Linked DNA regions of Tribolium castaneum. The protein of the gene in region 2 interacts with the protein of the main gene of each other region in a biochemical or structural test. Links are inferred from orthologs where the notes say so. Each region holds a gene or a part of one and is shown on either strand. Other genes may lie near its edges.

Region 1 (7,517 bases), on a different chromosome or scaffold from region 2:
GTTCTTCGCTTCGAATTGTGCTTGGATGTACGCCGCTGCTTCGCCATACTCTTGCGCACCTTCAACAAAACGCGCCCTCAAAAATCATCACTCAACACAACCAAAACCCATACCTGCGTATTCGGGGAAACATATTGTTAAAGGCGACTTCCTAATTTTTTCCTCGAACAAGTCTTTCTTATTAAGGAAGAGGATTATAGACGTGTCCGTGAACCACTTGTTGTTACAGATCGAATCGAAAAGCTTCAAGCTCTCCTGCATTCGGTTCTGGAACAGAAAAAATTGATCACTGCAAAGTTCCAATGATAAAGTTAGAAATTAGGGAATAGAAACTTTCCCAATCAATAAAATGAAATATGGTATAACTCCCGTGACGTTTGTTTATACCCAGATACAATCATTTCGACTGATTATTATTAAATACGTTGACGTCATCGCGCGATGAATTAATTGCGACGAATGAAATTCAACATAAATGAGTAAAACACATTTGTCACAGAACTTAGTAACGCATTTCTTTGCGAAAATTTTATTATTGTGTGATTTCGGCGATTTGGTGGTAGAATCCACCCTCCGCATTCAATTTTTTAACTGGCTTTCAGGCTGAGAGCACTCGGTGCCACTTGACAAATCAAATTGAGCTATTTGGAGCTTGGAATTAAACGAGGAAAAAATCGCGGAATAATGTTGGAAAATTAATGCACCTACAAAAATAGGCTTCCCGGAAATTTTCCTTTGATGTAATGAAAGATTAAATTCCATTAAAATTGGTTTGACGGTTCTATTAATAACGTAACGAACAGGAAACTATTTGTTTTAAACCCACCCTTGCTATGTTAGATAACCACATTATGGAATATACTACAGAAGCGGATTAAGCGCCCCTTGTAGACTCGACGTCCCAAAACTTGAAGGAGTCACTCGTCAAAAAAATATTTATAGCGTAACAAATACACAATTATTATGCTTATTCAATTTCTTACAAAGTTTAGTAAAGTAAAGCACAAAAATTACACACAATTATTTTCAAATTATTACAATATTTTTCACATACCAAGATTCGTTTATTTAGAAAGTGAGAATTCGGAAATGATTTTATGTAGGTAATGGAATATTTGAGAGATTTTGAGTAAGTGAATCTTCAATTTCATGCGAATACCGGGGATCAAATAAATAGAGAAAACATTTCTTTTGCCGTTGCTTAGATCGTTACTATTCACAAAATTTTGTTATCTCTGCACTTTTTAGTTAATTAAAGTGTGTTCTTTTTTAAACGGAATTCCCCAAGTCAAAATTTTGGTCAAGACATTGTTTTTGTCCTTAAAAATTTCGTTAAATATTAAGGTTATGTTTTACTTTTAAAGTTTTGTTTAAATTTAGACTGTCCTTTGAACGCGTGCTTATCAAATACCTGAGGATAGATATATCAATACCATGTGTCCAATCATTAAACTCACTGACAGACGAATAAATTTTAATGAAAAAAAAGTTTATATACCGAAAAAAGTTGTTGGGTTTAAATTTTCTGTAATTAATTTGAAATCTAAATTAATCTTCAGCTTTACTTTCAAAATTAGCACAGTAATACATTTTCAGTTTCTTCATCAAATGCTGTGCAACAAGACATTCTTATTTAATTTGTCTATGATTTGTCTGCATTTTCGTCACTCTTTTTTATTAAAAATTGAAAAATGATAAAGAAATCTATAAGTATTATATATTTCGAGGATGGTCTTCATATGACTAATGCTTTCACATTCAACATTTTCTAAAATTGCTGTCGGTACCTAGTCTGTATTTTTGTGTAATACACTTTAATTTGTTTAATGGCATTTTTTTCAAAATAAAACAAAAACCGAAATTCTATTATCATTTTAATATCTTTTTTAAAATTACTAGAACTGTTTCACATGTCGGTCTATAAAAAAACCGTTGTCAGTTCCCCTCATTAAATAAACCATTCAGCAATTATCGTTGTTCAAATTGCAAATCTCATTTTGCAACTTTGAAAACGCTTACTAACTTCTGACACTTATGGTTAGTTTATAAAAGCGCCATTAATTTAATCTGCAAATAAATGCGTGATTAATTGATCATGTGACCAAATTGAACAAATTTGATTGGTCCATTCGTGTTGTTAACTTTTAACAGCGAATTAAATTTTAACAAAACTTTCTATAAACCGACCCTAAATGAACTTTAAATCAAAAACTTCTGCAAAAATCTTCGCCAATCCAAAATGTAGTCTTTTGCATTGCAATCCAAAATTCGTCATTTAATAAAATGCGACGAAAGGTTTTTGTGTCCTCTCTTAGTAATCACTAAAAAACACAAAAAAATCAAACTACTTAGTACCTACTTATACAATATGAAACTTTCATTTACACCTAAAGTTTTTAATTACTAAATAAAATTTGGTTCCGCAACTACAGGGTTTCGCGCATTTTAATTTCACCTGCTTATAAAAATTCGTTGTTAGGTAAAAGCAAGTACTATTTATTTTTGCGCGCATAGTGAATTAGTTGAAAATATATTTCAAAATATATAATTGTGATGTGAGAAGAAAGATAAACAGTGAATCAACAAAAAATGAAAAAAAAAAGATAAAAGAGACACTGCAAAATTAATTGGTGAATTTACTAAACTGAGTTCAGAACACAAATACAGGGTAATTTTTAAACAACGGCAGCCGGTGTAGAATTTTTCTTTATGACGCTGCTGGCGATTTAAAAAAAATGGATTATATTCAACTTTTTTATTTAATTTGGGACCCATTTTTTTCATAATTTGGAAAATTAGCACAGATATTAGTTTGTTTAGTACAGACATCTACAATATGTTCTAATTTTACTAAAAATTATTGTTTAAAGAACTTATCAGCAAAGTTGTATACGTAAAAATTTGATTTTTTTAAATTGTGGTTATAAATTTTATTTGTTATTTTCCTTGAAACGTTTAGTTTTGGTACTTTGTTACTAAAACTACAAACTTTTCTGATAACCCACTTGCTTCTTTTTTGGAGTGACATTAGATAGTGTTTATTTATTTTATTTATTAAATAAGGGCGCCAAAACTTTTTTCTGTGAATACTCACTGTCGTTTCATCCTCGTGCAGGACTTGATCATATTCGCTCATCGCTACGCAGAAAATAATTGCCGTCACGTCTTCGAAACAGTGAATCCACTTCTTTCTTTCTGACCTCTGACCACCCACATCGAATAATCTGTAAAAGTAAATTACACGATGTATTTACTTCACTGCGACACATAAAAGGTTCTTTGAATTCAAGCACATTTAATTCCGTGAGTCACAATGAAAGAGGCTCTGGAAATGAGTTGCTGCAGCAGATGCTAAAAACGTAGCCATTTAATATTTCAAAAGACTTTGTGCAATGGAAACTTTTGCAAACGGTTGTTTTTACGTGGGAAAACCCACGACAACTTATAAAATAGGCTTCGCTCTTTCAGCTCTTTATTAATAGAAACACAAGGAAAAACTTTTTTCATTTACTTTCGTGTTTATTAAAAATCGCCAACAAACTCACTTGAAATTGAGGTTTTTAAACGAGAAATGCACTTCGACGATCCCCGTCGTTTTGACTCTTGTGCGGAGGATGTCCTGTTCCGTAGGTTGATAGTCTTTGGCACCTAATCGGTCCAGATCGTCCAGGAAACTGGAAAAAAAACGTCGTGGGTAATACCTTACCCTGAATGGTCGATTTTTGCTTACTATTTAGCGGAATCGTTCAGTTGGTATTCGTTGGAACGACCGAAACATTCTTGAACCCCCGAATCAGCCCATAACCGCTTCATGGCGGCGAGGAGTTCTTCGGAAAAAGGTTCCGTGTCTTCCATCCTTTGGATAACGTCGAAAACCATTTTACCATCGATCTGTTGGCGAAATTCACATTTTATATTCGATCAGCAACAGGTAACAAGGTCATTGAAGCCTGCCCTTTTTGGCTACGGTGAATGAACGTGCACTTTAAAATAAACTTTGACTTAATCCGCAAGTGGTCTCGTTTAACATTAACCCGAAACAAAAAAAAGCTTGCTATAATACTCCAGTAAACGAAGTTAGTAACACAGATTTGTTTGTTACTATACAGACTGTTCCGTCTGAACCGTACATTAGAAGTACAGAAAGTTCTGATAATTATATAAATCTGAAAATTGGTGCACACCCTAAGCCGTTGGAAGTCCGTATTAACTTTCTTATTTTAAAGATATGTTTTTTACTTTCGTCAGATTTTCCAATAACTAAATTTAGCGTTTTTCGAAATATTTAAAAATCTTTGTAAATTTTTGTTTTTGCACCTTTCACTTAAAAAATCGTCAATTCTGCTATTTTTAGAATTTTAAAAAACGTTTTCGAAAAATCAAAACAGAAAGCCTATATCTTTCCTTCAGTGTGTTCAAAATTAGAAAAAAAGTTTACGAACTCCAAAATTTTAATGTTATTTTTGCACAACTTCAACAAGCTATAAGGCAATTTTTTCAAATGGAATGCCTCAATTTTTATTTTACTACTTCAGATATCTATTAATATCCATTTATGACAATTTTCAAGTTATGTTGATTTATTTACTTTGACTTTTGACAATGTCGGAAATTCCTTACTAGCCACAGATATTTTTGTAGAGTTTAACAAAGAAACATTTCTCATTGAATAAACGATAAGTTCTGCTGATAATTTTGCTTTCCTTTCCGTAAAAACAAAATATTAGCTGTTTCAAAGCTATAAAAACGCCAACGTCGCATTTTCTCTCAAAATTAGCTGTTATAAATTATTTATTCATCGATACTGTCAAAATTTCCGGTTTTTCTCCTGTGTAAAACAGTTTTGATAACTGTTTGGCATTTCTCGACACGAAACGTCAGAATATTTTAACAGATTTAAAGCAATTTTAAGCCTTGTTGAGTCTAATTCGAAGAATAAAATGTCGTATTCGACTCTTTTTCTTGTAAATCGGTTCACTCATTTCATCTCGTAGATGATAAACCACTCATTTTGACTCGTGGTTTGATAATTCATTCGTGAAATAAAACGTCCGATTTACACTCAAACTAGTTAAATAATAGTATATTAAAAAACTAGTTTCATAAGACCAAAGCACGAATTCAGTTTTTGAAAGAATAAGTGCTCTAAGGTCTTATGAAACGAGTTTTTTATACTATTATTTGTAATTTGACCCCTTTTTGCCGTTTTTAAACAAAAATTGTTATTTTAGTCGATTTAGGGATTTTTGTGATTGTTGGTAATATCTCAATTTTTAAAGTGAAAAATTGATTTAAAATTTTTGTTTTATCAAATTTGTGAAATTCACAAAAATACGGTCCCGATTTTGCTTCTTGCCAACCCAAAAATTTTCGTAAAATGTTCCGTCAAATAATGACTATTATAACAACGCATCAAAATGGCGGTAAATTACAAAAATAACTATTATGCGCTTCAAAAAAAAATAGCTTATGTAATTTACACTCTGAAGCAGAGATCTAATAGTCATTAATAACTATTTTACAATTTTATCAATCTTATTTCAAAAAAATAATTTGGCAAAATTCGACGTTGGCGTTTTTATAGCTATGAAAGAGCTTATATATTTATTGAAATTAGATTTGGAAAACTTTGATTTCTTACTAACGTTTCCTTGACAACCTATGCGAAAAGAGCTATGGCTAATGAATTTCTCAGTGCCAGCAAAAAGTTAAGACGTTTCAAAATTAGCAAACTTCATTTTTAAAATTTGGAGTTTGCTAACTTTTTTTAAAAATTCAAAAATCCCAAAGAAACCTCTTTCAAAAAAGCCAAAAAAGATTTCAAATTTTTTAAAACCGGCAGAGTTACCGGTTTTTGAAGAGTCAAAAAAGAAAATCCAAACATTTTCAAAAAATCCTAAATATTTAAAAAACCAATAAATTTAGGAATAGGAAAAACTAATAGAAACTCCCTTAAAATAACTCAATAATCCAAAAATGTAGTAAAAAACATAGTTTTCCATTTAAAATAAGAAAGTTGATAACGACTTTCGGTATAACCATGCCTCCATGTTGAAAATATTTTCATTGAACAGAACCTAACAAATTATGGTTGTCAGCAAATTTTCAGATGACTACCATTATTAGAACTCACAATACTTCTAAATGGGAGGTTTAGATGAAACAGCTGTAGCTAGTATGGATACAGTTTAAATATTATAAAACTATTCACCAAAAATTGAAATTTGGTATATGCTTAAGAGTATATAAATTGTATCATTTCAAATGACTATCAAATTTATTTCTCTATTTGTTCTTAGGATACGAACCTAATACATAAAAAGTCGTTAGCCTTTGAAATGTTATCTTTATTTGTTGCTAGCTTTTTGCCGCTTAAACATTGACTAAAAAATAAGTAAATAATAAAATAAATAAAATAAAATAATAAATAAGTTAATAATAGTTGCTAAAATACCACATCTAACTGAACAAGAAAACATTTTAATAACAAAAAACATGAAAAACGTGATTTTTATGCTACAAGAGATGTTCAAAATGATTTCCACTGACTTCTTGGCTTTCTGTCACCATGACCAACCAACATGAAAATTTTTTTCGTTCAGTCTCACGTAAATGTATTACTTAACTATTGCACACAAGTTTAATTTTTGGATAATTAATTTTCAAAACAAAAAGTTTTACTTTTCTAGAAATCCAGAATAAAATTTTTGCATTTAATTTATTTTTTTACTTTTTAATAAAAATAAAGGTGGGTATTAAGTTACATCACCAAATTCAGAAAAAAATGTTCTTTTAAAAAATCAAGTTAGCGTTGTATTTTCAAAATAAATGTCGATAAAAAATTTAAAACGTTCTTAGATGAGAATTGAAACAAATTTTCTGCTCTGTTAAACCGTTCTGAAAATATTTAACTGTACCCATACTTTTTAGCGATCCTGTATTTACAGTTCACATGAATAATTGTTGCTTAATCATAGGCCACGCCTAAGCGGTGTGAAAAATCACGTCGGTGTGATAAATGTGCAGTTTTCAGCCGTAGGTCGAATAAAATCCTTGGGCCCTTCGTTCGCTTGCGCCGGCTCAAACCTTTCACATGTGTTCAACACCCAAACATTAATAATATAAATATTTGTTTCTCCGAATATATTGGACTTATTTTAAGTCAATTATTTATTATTTCAGCAGCAAGAACGCAATTTTAATTTAAACTTTACAATATTTTACGCTCGAAATAGTTCGGCGTGGTTATTTTTTGTGCGAGGAAAAGCTGGGATTCCGTGTATCACAATGCATAATTTATGTTGAAAATGTTTTCCGAGTGAATTTTCTTCGCTCACCTCTCGCTCGTTGTTGCCGTAGCTGATTCCGAGGTTTGGCATGGCCCGCAGGATGGCCACAAGGGATTGAATAGTGTTGCTATACACCACAGGTCGGTATTGTTTGAAGTCTTCGCTTGTAAACCCACTTTCGTGGATAATTCTGAAACAGCAGTCCATCAATCAATGTCATGAAAAAAT
Region 2 (7,963 bases):
ATTTTAACCACGAATACCCCTCTACAATTAAGAATAGATAGGATAGTATTTACTGACCCACCACAAAAAATTGGAAAATTACAATTTTTCAGAAATTGGTATGGAAAAATGGTTTTTTGAAAATATTTTTGTTACCGTTCATGCGATTATTATGAAATTTTGCATGTCAAGAGACACAAAGACGCTCTTTGATATGGTGTAAATGGAAATCTTGTAAAAGCTATACATTTCCGGTGACAAGGGGACCCTTCCAGTTTTTAGGTGATAACTCAATTTTTCGGCCTATAAACACGTATTTTTGATGTCAAAAATCAAAAGCCCAATTATTTTTTAATAAAAAAGGTACTCTTGCTTCATGTCGTCAAACTGTACCGTTCTCGAGTTATTTGGGATTAAACTAAACTCTAAAAAAAACATCTTTTTTATTGTTGAATTGGTGGTCAAAAGGGCATTGTGTGACAAAACCGATTTCGGGGTGAAATGGGGCGAAAACTGCAATAGTGCATTTGCGGAGCTATAAATATTGAAATTAGGTGAAAAAGTGGGAAAAATTATGAAGCAATTTGTGGTAAATAATTGAGTTTTTCGCTATTAGCAAAGTGACTTTCTTAAAATGTCATTTTTAAGAGGGTGTTAGTGTTTTTTCGGATTTTTATTTTATTAAACGGTTTCAAAGCTGACAACCAAACATACATCTACGCAAATTGAAACGTATTTTGCTAGTGTGAAACTGGCTTCATGTTCGGGTTTCTTCGGAATTTCGAGGAGCTGGTTTGGGGAGCTGTCTTCACACAAATCAATGTCAATGACACCCGAACACTAACCTACAAAATTTAACTTTGGAGGGAAACTGTCAATACGTTGTGTTAGTTGATTATGGAGACAATGGAAGTAGAAGAAGCCCCACAGGCGGGCCCTTCGGCCGAACCCGGCCAAGGCCCGTTACAAAAAGCCGATAACCTCCCTTGGTAACTCCCTCACTTCCAACCACAATCTCTAACAGTTCGTTAACAGGATCGAAAAATACCGCCCCCAGACTTTCCAAGAAATCGTAGGCAATGAAGACACCACCAATCGCCTGTCAGTCATCGCCAAACAGGGCAACCTCCCCAATTTAATCATTGCCGTAAGTGTAATTTTCCCCCTATCCACTCCACAATTAACTAGGGGCCTCCTGGCGTGGGCAAAACCACCACAATCCTGTGCCTGGCCCGAATCCTTTTAGGCCCAGCGTTTAAAGACGCTGTTCTCGAACTCAACGCGTCAAACGACAGAGGTATAGACGTTGTCCGTAACAAAATCAAAATGTTTGCGCAACAAAAAGTCACTCTCCCGCCTGGACGCCACAAAATCATTATCTTGGACGAGGTGGACAGTATGACCGAAGGGGCGCAACAAGCCCTAAGACGCACGATGGAAATTTACAGTAATACGACTCGGTTCGCTTTGGCTTGTAACTACAGTGAAAAAGTGATAGAAGCGATTCAGTCACGGTGTGCTATTTTGCGGTACTCCCGCTTAACGGATGCCCAAGTGTTGGCAAGGGTGATACAAGTGTGCCAACAGGAGAGTGTTGAATATACGCAGGATGGGCTTGAGGCGATTGTGTTCACAGCTCAGGGGGATATGAGACAAGCGTTGAATAATTTACAGTCGACTTTTAACGGCTTTGGGGTTGTTAATTCCACTAATGTGCTGAAAGTGTGCGATGAGCCCCATCCTATGTTAATTAAAGATATGCTCAACAGTTGTGTTACTGGTGATGTAAGGAAGGCGTTCAAGGTCGGTAACAATTTGAATACGTGTTTTTTTTTGTTATTTAGTGGAGTTTTGTTGCAGATTGTTGATCATTTGTGGAGTTTGGGGTACGCTGCCGAGGATATTATTAAGAATATTTTCAAGGTTTGCAAAAATATGGACATGGAGGAGAGTTTGAAACTTGCTTTTATTAAACAAATTGGGGTCACACATATGAGGATTGTTGATGGTTTGTGCTCTTTGGTGCAAATGTCGGGACTTATATCGAGATTATGTATGGAAGCTAAAGGAGTGAAGGGTGAATGATTACTTTAAAATTTGCTATTGTATTTAAATAAGTTTTTCAATAAAAAATATACAACTTAATTGGTGTTTATATTGAAACAAACAAATCACATTCAGTGCGACTTTATTCGATCATTAAAACGGAAGTATCACAACATAAATAATATTAAATAAAATACGTACATAAAGAAATAATCTCACTATTTTTCCTAACATCGTTTCGTTAAAAATACAAACAATAGAATAGTAAACGATTTGATTCAATCATTTTAAAATGCAGACTAGGTTTACGACATTTATTATTTATTAAAAATAAATTAATCATCGCTATCGCTGTCATTGTTGACTTGTTGCGCTTTTATACCTTCCTGCAATTGTAACACATGTTTGATGGGATGAGGTTTCCCATCCTCGCCTACTCTACATGGTTGGATGGTCCCAGATCTGGTCAAACTGTCCATTAATTCGACCAACTTCATGGCCTCATACTCTTTCTGCAAACAAAAAAATTACCCTGATTATTTTTTTCCTCAACAAAAAAAAAAAACAATTTTTGTTGTGGGTCGCCAGGAGCCACAATAACCGTTTTTTCAACAAAATCAAATTACCTGTTCCTCTGTCATATTTTCCATTGCGTTGGGATGCGGTTCTTCGTAACACCCAATCACTGGATTAATCCCATGTTTAAATTCGGCATATTCTTCAGTTTCGCTTCCCTCACTACCTGAACTATAATCAGCCTCGCCTCTATCTGAGCGCCCCCCTAAGAGCCCCCTTTTGGCAAAGAGACCCGCAGCATTGCCATAACCCGTATACTTAATCATCCTTTTGACTAAAATTATAATAATTATTTAAAAAATAAATAAAATGAATTGTTTTTACCGCTTTTTTTGCACAAAATGAACAACAAATCGGCCACCAAATCCCTCAACTGTGTTATCGGCGTGGTTAAAAGCCGACACAAGTGATTACGAAGTGTGGAGCCTTGTTCAGGTCGACTGTGCACATCTTTCAAAGGTGGAAGAATTTGGAGACGGAGATATTTTCGAATAGCACGTTCACTGTTTGCACTTTTCAATAAAATTGTTACGACAGGACACAAAATTTCGTATTGTTTTGTGACACCTTCAACGTTGTTAAATTTGCTTTTTAGCACCATCAGGATTTCGTAAAAAGCCGTCATATTCTGGCCTTCGAATTGAAATTTGGGTTTGAGGTTTTGGCCAGGTTGGACAGGTGTTATCAGATTTTTGAAAGTTGAATCAGGCATGTTTGTTAGTAAATTGATTACGTTGTTTTTTAATGCCAGGCCTTTTTCTTTATCTTGTGTTGGTACAAGAAGATACATTCTTAAGAGAGTGACCAAATGGTCACACTGTTCGTTTTCTTCTTTATCGTCATAGATGCCGTAACTTAATGTTACGTTAAATAGGGCTTTCAGAATTTCGCAAGCCAGGTCCACTTTTTGGTCCTAAAACAGAAAAAACAAGCAAGATAATTAATATTACTTTATTAAAACATCTTCCACTATTTCCCTACACATGTGATTTTTTTTTAGATTTTTTCCACACTTCCTTATAATTAAAATTATTTTAATTAATGAATTAATAAAACGATGCCTACAAACTGTTTTTGCACAAAGAAATATTCTTCATTGAATAAACAACAAGTTGTCTTAAAAAATTTATTATACAGGGTGTCTCAAAATAAATTGTTAAAAAAAATATAACTATACTTACATCCAAAATAATTTTTTCGGGTGATGCTTGGGCCGCTTCTTTCAGCATCTCATCTAGCATTTTAAGCAAAGATTCGACCCCTTTTAATTCTTCCTTTACTTTTGAGCGAACTTCAGAACACAGTGCTGTTAGTAGGAAAATGAGCTTAACATCGTAAAATCTGATTTCTTCCGGTATTTTATTCTCTTGGGGATTTTTGATACGTTCAGTTAACTGTTCCAAAACACCATTTTTGCAACACAGTCCTGCAGCAACAGGACTGTTGAAAATCACATTGCATAAACATTTTTCCACTTCAATTGCCAATAATAATTTACTAGCATCAAATTTGTACTGGGGATCGTCCAAACCGGAGTGTTTTTGCATGAGTTTGAACCATTCGTCTGTTATTAACTCGTTCAGACCCATTTTTTCCCGACTAAAATTTTTTGCATGTTATGAATTATCACCGAAATTGTATTGATTTGAATTGGCATAGGTGGCTACGGAAATTTAAATTTCTGTTGGTAACTCAAATCAATCAAATAGTTTAGGATTTAGCTACCATATGCCAATTCATTTCGGAATAATTCCGCAAATACCTTAATATACGAATTGCGATAAAGCAATTCATTAGTGTAATCTCACTATTGGCTGTTTTGGCCAATGTAAATAATGCCTCCCATAATTCTTTCCGTTGGTTATTTTTATTGAGTTCTGGAAACTCGAATACTTGTGAAGCCTTCAATACAAGATTGTTGTTTATTGTAACTGTCATTAAATATTTATACATACCTCTTCAACGAAACATTGTAGCGATTCTGCTGCTTCTTTTCCTCCTTTTATTATAGTTTGGATATGTTTATCCATTATTATTCAACACCTGTTAGTGTCTCTTGTTAGTTACTTCTGTACAACAACCACGTTAACGTACCTGAATATTTCGTTACGGTTTTATTGAATGTTTTCTTGTTGTTTACACACAAATTATGTTTTTCTGCTAAACACCACAGATAAAATTAGAGAAATTGACAGTTTTGACACCTGCGCACTGACAGCGTCAAAACTGGACGCCCCTTTTTTACAGGTATCTGTAACTTAGAAGCGCAACCTGTAATTTTTTTTTTGTTACGAAACGTTCTAGCATTTATTACAATGTTTTTTGATGTTTTTATGTGTAGTTGGAATTTCAAGCAACTCGATTATAGATTTCTTGTGCTAAAAAAATAATTTTATAAACATACAATCACCGTATTAGTGTTGTGAGTGTCGCGCCCTCTGATTGTTAATTGTAAAAGCACTAAATTTCTTTATCGAGTCTACGGAGGACTATAAGTTAGGAGACGAAACGTACCAAAAAAATAGTACGGCCGAGTAAAAATTCAACCAATTCACTAATTACTTGGAAAAAATACAGAAATGTTGTCGTAGCACTTGAGAAAAACTGAAAGAAAGATGAGAAAAAAATTATTTAAAATTTAGAATTTGCGCAAAGTTTTGTATTTCTTACGAAATACAAAAAAATTATAAAAATTATGTTTTTATTTTCAGCGGTTTAAGTATAAATTAAATTTCCAATACAAAATGAAGCAAATCCGCGCTTGAGCGTTTTTGAACGACTTTGGGGACTAAATGGTTGAAGATAGAGAACTAGTCTTGCGGACTTTTTTGTAGGAAATTTACTTCTCTACAACTTTTTTTCTAACATTTTTCTTGTATCTGTAACGGTATTCGCAGCGTTTTGAAAAATATGGGACAGAGAGCAAATTGGTTAAACTTTGAATTTTTTTTAAATAGATTACAGTAAAATTCTTGCTTATGTTTATGTCTTACTATTGAGAATTTAATGCTCTATCTGGCTGTGTTTTTTTTGTTTGCTATGTGTTAACCGTTGTACAAATACAACAATTTTTTTCAAAAATTTAGATAACTGCGCTCTCTGGCGACATTAACGAAACTATTGGGGACGGGAACGTTTTATTTGTACGTCGTTTGTTATCCTAACCTTTAGATATTCGTAGTCAAAATGTTTTAATTAAAAATTAGACCGAAATTGATGTAATTTAAGCCGCTTTTAAGCGATTTAACTGTTTTTTGACTCAAAAAACAGCTTAAAATAAGTGTTATCTTTATATTCTCATGTTTTCACGCACATTAATTACTAAGAGCGTCTCAAAATCAAAGATACCTTATGTAAAATCGTCCCATACAAACTTTTTTCGTGTTAAAATTTTTTGTTTAAAAAAATCGACCCAAAACACTTCTTTATCCGGAATTATTACCCACGGTTTAACACTAGTTTTGAACGTTTTTTTTTACTCATTCTGCGAGACCTACAGATGGCGACCACGACACACGTCTGTAAACAGTGCCGTGAAACAGTAAATATAAACATCGACAAAGTGATCCTTTGTTATGGAAAGTGCAACACATGCATTCACTATGCATGCAGCCCATACAAACCTGGAGAAATCAAGGTACTAGATAACTACAAGGAAAATATCAAATGGGTGTGCGACTCCTGCAGAATCAGACCCTCGCAAGAGGAAGCGATGAGACACCTTATAGATATTGTAAGTAACCTTAAGGGAAAAATTGACGACTGTCTGAAACAAATACAAAATCAAAACGGAACAATACAAAGGTTAGATCAGCTGTTAGCGGAGTCACAAACCAAATCGTCCAAACCAATAACAAGATCCAACAAAGGACACACAGATGTCATCACAAACCAAGAAAGAGAAAACCTGACGAACGTAAAAGCTCAGAAAAAAAGTAACAAGCCATCTGACAGGGTGATAGAAAACAACAAGCAAAAAAAACAAGTTGACAAGGAGGGTAACACAGTCCAGGACAAAAAACCCGAAACAAGCCAATCATTAAACCAACGAAACGACGAAAAAGAAGACCCCAACAAATCGGTAGGTTTTGAAAACCTAACCACAATAATAAACTATAACATACAATCACTATCGAAAAAAATAGACGCACTGACTATACAGTTAACAGAAGACGAAGTAGACATTGTAATTATCACTGAGCACTGGTGCAAGGACAACACCCTGGAAAGCTTAACCATCCCAGGATATAATATTATAAGCCACTTTAGCAGATCACTTAACCAGCATGGCGGATCCTTAATCGCAACAAGGGAGGGTATTTCCGCAAAAAATATTGAAGGCATTAGACCCCTATGTGAAGAATTCACTGCAGAAATCTCAGCTGCTGAGATTCCTTCAAAAAACTTAATAATAATGGCGGTATATCGATCTCCAAATCAGAACTTCAAGCACTTCATAGATAAAATTAATGAAGCACTAGAAAACCTGACACAAAGGAACCACTCTAGACGATACATTGTCGCTGGGGACTTTAACACCAATATTCTCAAGGATGGCGTCGAACAATCTTTATTAATCGAAACTTTCACAACATATGGTATGCAACCACTAATGAGAGAGGCATCTAGAACAACTGAAACTTCTTCTAGCTGCATAGATAATATATTTTCAAATATTAACATAGAAGAAATCTTCTCAAAAGAGACAAAAAGTTGGTGCATGTCTGATCACTACTGTCAAGTCCTGAAGATTAAGAACCCAGTGCAAGAACCTAGAAAACCAGAAAAACATATATACAGAAGAATAAATGAACAGAATACTTACTACTTTAAGGAGTACTTAACCGGAATTGAGTGGGCTCGTGTCTTCAAACACCGTAATGCAAAAGAGGCCTACACTGTCTTCCATACAACTCTGACAGCTGCCTTTGACAAATTCTTCCCTAGAAAAGAAAAAATTAATAAACCAAAATTCAATAAGAGACCTACGTGGATTAGTAAAAAAATCATGAGTATGAAAAATACACTAGAAGCTCTACAAACAATAGCAAGAGTTGAGAAAAGCCAACAATCAGCTGAGGTCTTCAAGTCATATAAACGCAGCTACTTCCAAGAAATTGAAGAAAACCACAGAAACTACAACGCTTATATCCTAAACAATGCTGATAATAAGCAAAAAGCCATTTGGAAAATCATCAATACAAAAACGAAGACAAGCAATACCAAAGAATGCAAATTGAATGCCGACGAACTCAATCTCTACTTTGCCACGATAGGAGAGAAAACGTCAGACAGTATAAAAAAAATCGACAAAGATCCTTGTGATTTCCTCAAGGCGTGTAAAAGCAATGCAAAATCGTTT

What was found.
Region 1: of the proteins of ric8a (region 2) and Galphao, one has a biochemical effect on the other in vitro, tested with the Caenorhabditis elegans proteins (2 studies listed by BioGRID). The link is inferred for Tribolium castaneum from reciprocal best matches to the Caenorhabditis elegans genes ric-8 and goa-1.

The regions. Positions count from the first base shown.
Region 1 is NC_087396.1:19,004,233-19,011,749, reverse strand, and holds part of Galphao (guanine nucleotide-binding protein G(o) subunit alpha), read right to left. Parts: intron 7,480-7,517; coding exon 7,338-7,479; intron 3,892-7,337; coding exon 3,731-3,891; intron 3,675-3,730; coding exon 3,546-3,674; intron 3,225-3,545; coding exon 3,095-3,224; intron 268-3,094; coding exon 114-267; intron 60-113; coding exon 1-59. UniProt on the Caenorhabditis elegans protein: Guanine nucleotide-binding proteins (G proteins) are involved as modulators or transducers in various transmembrane signaling systems. In the 1-cell embryo, probably together with gpa-16, controls nuclear rotation and spindle elongation during mitosis.
Region 2 is NC_087402.1:965,270-973,232, reverse strand, and holds ric8a (synembryn-A), read right to left. Parts: upstream 4,851-7,963; 5' UTR 4,696-4,850; intron 4,645-4,695; 5' UTR 4,632-4,644; coding exon 4,557-4,631; intron 4,504-4,556; coding exon 4,364-4,503; intron 4,201-4,363; coding exon 3,783-4,200; intron 3,515-3,782; coding exon 2,926-3,514; intron 2,876-2,925; coding exon 2,652-2,875; intron 2,538-2,651; coding exon 2,361-2,537; 3' UTR 2,151-2,360; downstream 1-2,150. Other genes in the region: RfC4 (replication factor C subunit 2), read left to right, coding at 877-968, 1,015-1,126, 1,168-1,782, 1,840-2,064. UniProt on the Caenorhabditis elegans protein: Chaperone that specifically binds and folds some, but not all, nascent G alpha proteins prior to G protein heterotrimer formation, promoting their stability and activity.